Linked DNA regions of Oryctolagus cuniculus. The protein of the gene in region 1 interacts with the protein of each later gene in a pairwise test. Links are inferred from orthologs where the notes say so. Each region holds a gene or a part of one and is shown on either strand. Other genes may lie near its edges.

Region 1 (4,491 bases):
TTTGGTCTCATTTAGAGAAGATAAATATGATCACGCGAGTTTTATCTCATTATTTTTAAAGACTTATTCATTCGAGAGGCAAAGAGACAGAAAGTGGGAGAAGGAAGCGGGGCGGGGAGGGGGAGAGTTTTCCATCCGCTGGTTCACTCCCCAGATAGCTGCAACAGCCAGTGCTGGTCCTGGTAGACGTCAGGAGCCTGGAGCGCCATCCTGGTTCCCCTTGTGGGTGCAGGGACCCATGCACTCAGGCCATCTCCTGCTGCATTTCCAGGCACATTAGCAGGGAGCTGGATCGGAAGTGGAGCGGCCGGGACTCGAACCAGTGCTTGGATAAGGGATGGCATGCCAAGCTGCAGCTTAAGCTGCTGTGCCACAAGTACCCACCCTTAGCTCATTCTTGTAATTTTTTTTAATAAGAGTGTGTTTGGCTTTTTTCACTTTATTGGGTATTTTCATCTCCTTTTCAGATTGCCTGTTGTCCTTTGATGATTTTTTTTCCTCTAAGAGTGTTTCCCTTGATTTGTAAAAGCCTCAAATAATGAGAAAATGAACAAAACACGTACACCATTGTCCTCATAGGAAAGCAATAGCCCCGGCTTCCGTCTCAAGCCCTGTGCCAGCCCACAACTTTCACCTTCACGACATCACTTTTTTTTTTTTTTTTCTTTTGTCCCTTCTCTGGCCCAGGAAAGCTTTCCTTACCTGTGACTAAGAGTCACCATGAAAAACAGAGTTTTTGTTATATCCGCGACTGTCTTTGGTTTTCCCTATGGGGAAGGGTCTATCCGTGCCCAGACTATGAAGTCGGTAATGCCATTCTTGTTCCATGGCCGTAGATCCTGAGGCTCAGATCCAAGAGGCATGGTCCTGCTGGGGAGTAGTGGAGTTGGGCCTGGCCCGGTGGTCCCGGGTTGGCTCCGGTCCTGTTGGCCCCCTACCTCAGGGCCAGAGTGGACTCTGAAAATGACAAACAAGGCATCAGGGAACCTGGACAGGGCTGGAGGCTTCACAGAGCCCTTCTCCCGGGCTCTTGGCCTAGGAGGCTGCTGTAACGACCACTGATGACCCCAGTCCACCACCGCCGCCCACTGGGAAGCTGATCCCAGAAAGGTCAGAGGCTGGGGCTGGCGGGGTCACAGACTGGAAGGTGGAAACTGGCATATACTGAGCACCCACTGGGTGCCAGACCTTGGAAATATCAGAGGTTAGGGGTGACTGGCTCAAGCTCTGCCCAAAGCAGGCGCCTGTCACACAAGCAGGTGACACCCTGATGGGGGTATTGTCTCCCAGTGGTGCCGTCAAAGCTGTGGCTCTGGCTCGCAAGGTCCCCGCAGCACAGGTGCGGACCACGGCTCCAGGGGCCGGACCGAGCCGGGTCGGGGCGGGGGGTGGGGGGGTGGGTAGCAGCTTCTCTCTGGTCCCCTGGCTCTCGGAGAATGGGGCGGGGCGGAGCGAAACCCTGCCCAGCGAGGGAGGAACCAAGGCAGACCACGCCCCCACAACCATTGTGTCGGGGGAGTTAGCGGGCGACCGTCCCAGTGTAAGCCAATCAGAGCTCGGTATGCAAATTAGTGAGCTGGGCGGCCGCCTGGAGACTCGAAGCGGTCCGCGCCGCTGCCCTCCCTCCGGCGGGCGCACGGGGCGCAGGACCGCGCGCGGCAGAGCCGGGGTCTCAGGTGAGCGGGTGGGTGGGCCGGGGCCGGGAGCAGAGGCCGGGTCACGCGGGGTCTGGGAGCGCACTCAAACCCAGAGATGCTCGGAGGCACGATTTCTGACGCTCTTCGGAGGACCCCCCACCCCAATACACACACACACACACACACACATACTCCAGGCTCATCAGACTGTCCGCAGATGCCTGGGGATCGCGGGGTGCGGGGAGACTGTCCCCCTGGAGCCTGGATAGACCCTCACAGCCGTCTCCCCGTCCTTGCGCGCAGTGCTGTGGATCGCAAAGAGAGGAAGCCGGCAGGGGGCCTGGCCACCCGCACCATGGCCAGCTTCCGCTACCACTCGGGATACTTGGCCGACGATGAGGCCGGCCACAGTCCCTATGTGGCCCGGGTAAGTGATCCCCCGCAGGACGCTGACCCCAGGGATCCCTGTGCGTTCCCCCTGAAACCACAGCCCCCTTGCTCGGTGCCTGTGGGCCTCCTTAAGCAGCCGTTGCCGCTGCCTTGTCCTTGCCCGGGGCCCTCCTGGGGCCTCATCACCCCCCACTTCCCTTCCCCGTGTCCCCCGCTGACCTCCAGCGACCCCAGGAGGGGTCCTCGGGGCCTAGGGCTCAAGGTGAAGAAGTAGGTGCTCCGGACAGGGGCGACGGAGCTGGCCTTGGGCATATGGGGAGCCAGGGTCCTCTTCGCCCTGTAAAAGGTGTCCCTGCCCACTACCCACTGTGCTCTGCCTGTCTGCCCAGGTGCAGTCTCTCAAGAAACCCCCATTGCCACAAATGGGGTCGGCCCGTGTGCCACCCCCGCGGTTCACGCAGGGCACCTCAGCGCAGCCAGGTCCCCACCGAGACACCAAGGGCCCCCAGTCCTTCGGCAGCTTCCTGGATTTCCTGACCGAGGGTCAGGTGCTCGAGAGCCTGCAGACGGTGGTAGAGGAGGCCACGGAGCGCATGGCCACCATGAAGACGGGGGCTGGCGTGCCGCTGGTGGAGGTGCGAGATCCAGTGGTGGAGCCTGCCAGCGGAGGGCGGCGGCCCCGGGCCCGGCCCACCTGGAGCACGGTCTGCCGGAACCGCGCTCAGCCCAGCCTGTGTGTTGGCCGCCCCAACAACTATCCATCCCGCTCCAGCTCCGTGTCGGACTCCCGCAGCAGCCTCACTGCTGGCTGGCTGGGGTCCCATGGCCAGGGCAGTGACCTGGGGGCCCGAGGCTCAGGCTCCCTGCCCCCTCTGAAAGACAGGCTTTTGCTGGAGCAGAGCCTCAAGCGGTTACTGAAACTGGAGAGGAAAGGGGTGAGATCCGAGGGCAAGGCTTGGCGGGGTGGGGATGCGGTGGGGTGGGGCGGAGACTGGGGCGGGAGGGGCTGGCGGCTTGGCAGGATCCTGGGCAAGTGTGATTCCCCCTCTCTCCGCAGAAAAGCAGGAGTCAGCCCTCCCGGAAGGACTCCCTGCGGTGGGATTCCCTGGGCAGCCAGACCACCAGCCAGTGGTCCCCGGAGCAGCCCCTGTCCTGGTTCTCAGACCTGCTGAGTTCCAGCACGGGCACCCCGGAAGCATCAGGGCAGACGCCCAGTGAGGAGGAGCTGAGCTTCCTCAAGCAGGAGTTCGACAAAAAGCTCATGGCGCTACTGAGCCAGCCGGCGGCCCTCGACCTGCCTGGCTACTGCTCGCTGCGCCAGCCCCACTGCACCCTGGACTTTCTGGCTCAGCATCACCTGTTCCCCGCGCTGCAGAGCGTGGTCAGCCAAGCTGTGGACAAGCTCAGCGGTGCCCGGCGGCACGACGGCTGCCCACTCTTCCCCGCCAACGCGGAGGCCTCATCAGAGCTGCCCCTCCACTACAATCTGCTGCCCCCAGGCTCCCAGCTGGCCTCGCCCACCGACAAGGAGGAGGCAGCATCCCCCAACACCACCACCTCCATCCCCAGGACGGAGCGCAGGAAAAGCAAGGGCACACGGGGCTCCCCCTCCATGACTAGTGCCACCAGATTCAAGCTCAAGGTGACACCCACGGGAGAGCCCGCTGTCCCAAGCCTCTCACATCACCCCAAGCAGGAGGGGCCTGTCTCAGAGCCCGAATCCCAGAAACCGCCTGTGTCCCTGAGCTCCAGCCACAGGGCCCGGCCCTGGCGGGGCCTGCACCTCACGCTGCCAGCCCCTGGGGTCACGGTGGAGGTGGCCTCCAGCCATGGGCGCCTCAGGGGCCCGATCACGCCTCCACCCCTGTCCTCCTGCCCGTCCTCTCCCCGCTACTTCGTCCCCATGCCCTCTCCCACCACATCCTTAGTAAGAAGCCTTTCCCAGTCCTCGGCTTCTCTCTGCCAGGGCTTGCATTCCCTGGGACCTAGACTGTGGGCCAAGGGCTCCTTCACCCACCACTGCTAGCAGCGCTGTCACCAGGCAGGGCGGCCCCAGGGACCAGGCCTCTTGCCCAGTGCTGTTGGAAATCTCCCGGGCAGGGGACAAAAGCCGATGGAGGGTGTTTATCTAAAAAGAAAAAAAAAAAAAAAGAAGAAGAAGAATAAAAGTTATTTTTTATCCTGGGTCTTTTTTTTTTCCTCTCCTCTTCAACATTGATTTTGAATCTTGGAGGCCCTGCAGCACGAGAAAGGGCCTTTCTCATCCCTCACGGACAGCAGCCTTTGGCCCAGGGCAGGCTTGAATTCTAGGTCTGGCTGCCTGTAACCCAGGGGCAGGGGCTCACTCCGCGCATGCGTGTGCGCTGCTAAGTGGCGGAACTGGGGGGTGCCCAGAAAGGGAAGATAGCAAAGAGCAGGTGGCTCGCCCCTGGGGGGGGTATCCCGGCACAGGCACTGTCCCTGC
Region 2 (3,496 bases), on another chromosome or scaffold:
GTAAAAGCATATCTATATAATTTAATAATAATAAATAGTTCTATAACCTCAAGCCATAAATGCACTAGTGTATGCTCTTCCTTTATTCAATGTCCCCCATAGTATTGCAGGGTAGGAGATTTATATATATAAGAGTTTGGGGCCCAAACCAGAGGCAGTAAAGCATTTGTCTGGTCTGTCTTGTCTTAGGGCAGTATATGATGATTTCCTTTTTTTTTTATCACAATCAACAACTACTAAATACTTTTTCATAACAATGCCCCTTTCTTTATGTTATCTCTCTAGCTGTGATAACTGTTTAAAAAAGGATTTCAAGTTGAAGAACAGAACGTTTGTACTTGGGATGAGTTTCAGTCTTTAGTCACTGCACACACAACCCCGGTTTATTTCTAATATTTTTGAAAGACATCAAAAAGTAGATGGCTTTGAGTCTAATTTCTGACTATTAGAGACTTAACTTCTGAGCTCCTTCTAAGAAAATATTTGTCAGGGTGGTTTGGAAAGTTTGGAAAGGAAGGCAGGGAATAAAAAGGCTCCTTTACTCTGATGCCTGGGGGTATCAAAACCATCACACAAAGTTTTATAAAATGCCCTAAGTCTGACAACCAGACTTCTCTCTGAAGATTTACTTTACAGATTACATTGCAAACACCAGCTGTATTCAGGAAGGGTCCCTCCTTTTTCCAAACAAAATTTTGCAACAGGCCAGCAGTACAGTATGTTTCCAAAGTGATGTTAATGTTGTGTGGAGCCCAGAGAAAATATTTTCTGTGTGGTACAGGTCTACATAAACAATGAGGCTTTTTCATTCTGCAGGATGAAGCATTTCTTTCAAAAATGAAAACTGGTTATTTCTAATTTTCTGAGGCATGCTACTTAAAAAAAAAAGGAAATAGAAAAGTATACACAGCCCATTCCCCTTCCTCATCTCCCTTTCTGACGAGTCCCCTTCTGCCTCTTCAACTCAGTCCTTATTCTAAACTTCCTAGCAGGGTAAGACTTAGCGGCTAGGTGGGCATTGGTGACTGAAAGGGCAAGATGGGGAGAGAGGGCACAGGGGAAAGTTCAAAGCCAAGGAGAAAGGAGAGAAAGCAGAAAAGGTCAAAACCAAGAATGCAGTGAGGTGGGAATGCGGGTGATGGAAGATAATACAGAACTTCCTTAGAAACCAGCAGCGAGCAAATTCCAACCATAAGGCGATGATGCCACTTGTAGGCCCTCAGATTGGAGAGTATGGAGATGAGTGACAGGGCGGTGTACATCGGGGCACCACCGCACAAAGATAGGCGGTGTGAGTGTTTCGGGGGCGGGGGGTGGGTAAAGGATGCGTGTGCTTGTGGCTGCTGGGGGCGGGGGGCTCAGCAACACTGGCCGCTGGAGTCGGGGGCGAGCGCGGCGGTGACGCGCGGCCGTCACGTGACCCCGAGCTGCAGAGGGACGCAGCCTCGGGTGCAGTCGTCACTCGCGTCTGGCTACCAGCTCCCCGCTGCCCTGCGCTCGGCGGGCTGGCATCGGGCCCGGGCAGAGCGGAGCAGGTGAGGGCCCCGGCGGCCAGGGCGGCAGCGGCGGGCGAGGAGAACAGCGCAGCGGGCCCCGCCGCTTTCTGTTTATACAGTGGCCCCCAGGAGTAGGGGTGCAGGGGCGGCTGGGGTGCTGGAGGGGAGAGCAGCAGAGCAGGCAGGAGCCAGAGGAAGTCCCCCCGCCCCGGGACGCTGCGGGAAAACGGTGAACACCGGAGGGGGCGGGGCGGCTCTGCGGAGGGACGCGGCCGCTGAGGGCCTGGACGGAGGCGCGGGGGCCAGGGCGGCGGGAAGGGGCCGGCAGGGGGCGGGGAGGGGGGGCGTAGCGGTGCCGAGCGCTCGCCTGCAGCCGCCCCCTCTCCCCGACCCCGCCGTCTGCAGGTCTGCAGGTCTGAGGCGCTGAGTGTCGCGGCGGCGCGCCGGCGGCGAGAATCGGGAGGAGGAGGAGACCGCAAGGATAGGCCCAGGTCGGTGGGACAGACCGGGGTGGGGGCGGCGGGGAGGAGCGTGCGGAAACCCTATCTGGGACCCCAGACCCCTCCAGCGACCCGTGCCCCCTCCCCCTCCCTGTCCCTGTCCTCCATTTTGGTGCCTGCAGAGCTCTGGGAAAGAATCCTGGGAAAAGAAAAATGGTGGGCTTTGGAGGGGATGGGGGATGAGGGGAGGAGGAGGAGAGAGAGCTAGAGGGAGGGGCTCGCATTGGAGGCCCCCTAGAGGGCGCACGAAGCGTCGAAGGTGGGAAAAATTAAACCTGTGGTGTCAGGGCTCTGAATCCTGCTGGTCAGTGCACCACGCATTCAGTCTCTCCTCACCCTTTACTTGTGTCCAAAGAAACACAGCCAGAAAAAAAAAATTCAATTCACCATGGCAAATATCCACCAGGAAAACGAACCAATGGAGCAGCCCATGCCGAATGGAGAAGACCGCCCTTTGGGAGGAGGTGAAGGCCACCAGCCTGCAGGAAATAACAGACGGGGACAGGCTCGCCGACTTGCCCCTAATTTTCGATGGGCCATACCCAATAGGCAGGGCAATGATGGGATGGGTGGAGATGGGGATGATATGGAAATGTTCATGGAGGAGATGAGAGAAATCAGGAGAAAACTTAGGGAGTTGCAGCTGAGGAATTGTTTGCGTATCCTTATGGGGGAGCTCTCCAATCACCATGACCATCATGATGAATTTTGCCTTATGCCTTGACTTCTGCCCTTTTCCGTGAGATTAATACTGTGATTCCCATTGATTTCCTTTTCCTTGCATTTTCCCAACATGCCTTTATGGATCCATTTGCTGTGAACCTTATGTTATTTCCATGTGTCAAGTGGGTCTTGTGTTGCCAGCTTCTAATTGAAAATTGCATCTGCACCCAGACTAAGTTTCTGTCAGAGTAGAGTTTCATCCATTTGCATGGAAAAATGTAAAGTTAATAAAGCAATTGAAAAGCAATCTAGATATTTATTATTGTCTCATTGAAGAGTATAGACTCATAAAACAGGAGCCAAAAGTATGAAATGAAACACAGCAAAGTGTTCACTGGGATGCATTTCTGTGTGGCGAGATATTGTGTGACTTTTCCTCTTTTTATCTGGAGTTTGAGAAGCAATGGAAATGATTTTTCAACGAGTATCTGAATAAAATGCAGGTACATAACAATTACTGGCTCAACAGACCTAAAGAAGAGTAAACCTTGATATTTTCCAGTCTTAACTGAATAATTCCTCCCTTCATTATAGTTACATTACTTTAGAGTCCTGTGAAATGAGGAACAATGCTTATCTTACAGGGCTGCTAAGTGGACCAGATGAGGGATGAAACTGTTGGGCTGGCTCCTCTTTAACTCCCAGCATTTAATAGGCTCCTTTCGCATACTTTGGGAGGACTGGAAGGAGTTCTCACCCATTTTCACAAGTACAGAAAGCAAAAATATGTGGGTTCTCCTATTCCATTCTTCCATTGTTTGCAATCTTGCTCCCCTG

What was found.
Region 2: the proteins of CCDC116 (region 1) and BEX3 interact in binary tests that used the Homo sapiens proteins (3 or more experiments, as listed by UniProt). The two-hybrid records come from large-scale screens. The link is inferred for Oryctolagus cuniculus from reciprocal best matches to the Homo sapiens genes CCDC116 and BEX3.

Annotation. Positions count from the first base shown.
Region 1 is NC_091452.1:29,153,864-29,158,354, reverse strand, and holds the start of CCDC116 (coiled-coil domain-containing protein 116), read left to right. Parts: upstream 1-1,387; 5' UTR 1,388-1,676; intron 1,677-1,940; 5' UTR 1,941-1,992; coding exon 1,993-2,064; intron 2,065-2,416; coding exon 2,417-2,962; intron 2,963-3,084; coding exon 3,085-3,669; intron 3,670-4,491.
Region 2 is NC_091453.1:90,035,960-90,039,455, forward strand, and holds BEX3 (protein BEX3), read left to right. Parts: upstream 1-1,480; 5' UTR 1,481-1,535; intron 1,536-1,537; exon of another isoform or gene 1,538-1,725; intron 1,726-1,901; 5' UTR 1,902-1,987; intron 1,988-2,351; 5' UTR 2,352-2,384; coding exon 2,385-2,720; 3' UTR 2,721-2,966; downstream 2,967-3,496. UniProt on the Homo sapiens protein: May be a signaling adapter molecule involved in NGFR/p75NTR-mediated apoptosis induced by NGF. Plays a role in zinc-triggered neuronal death.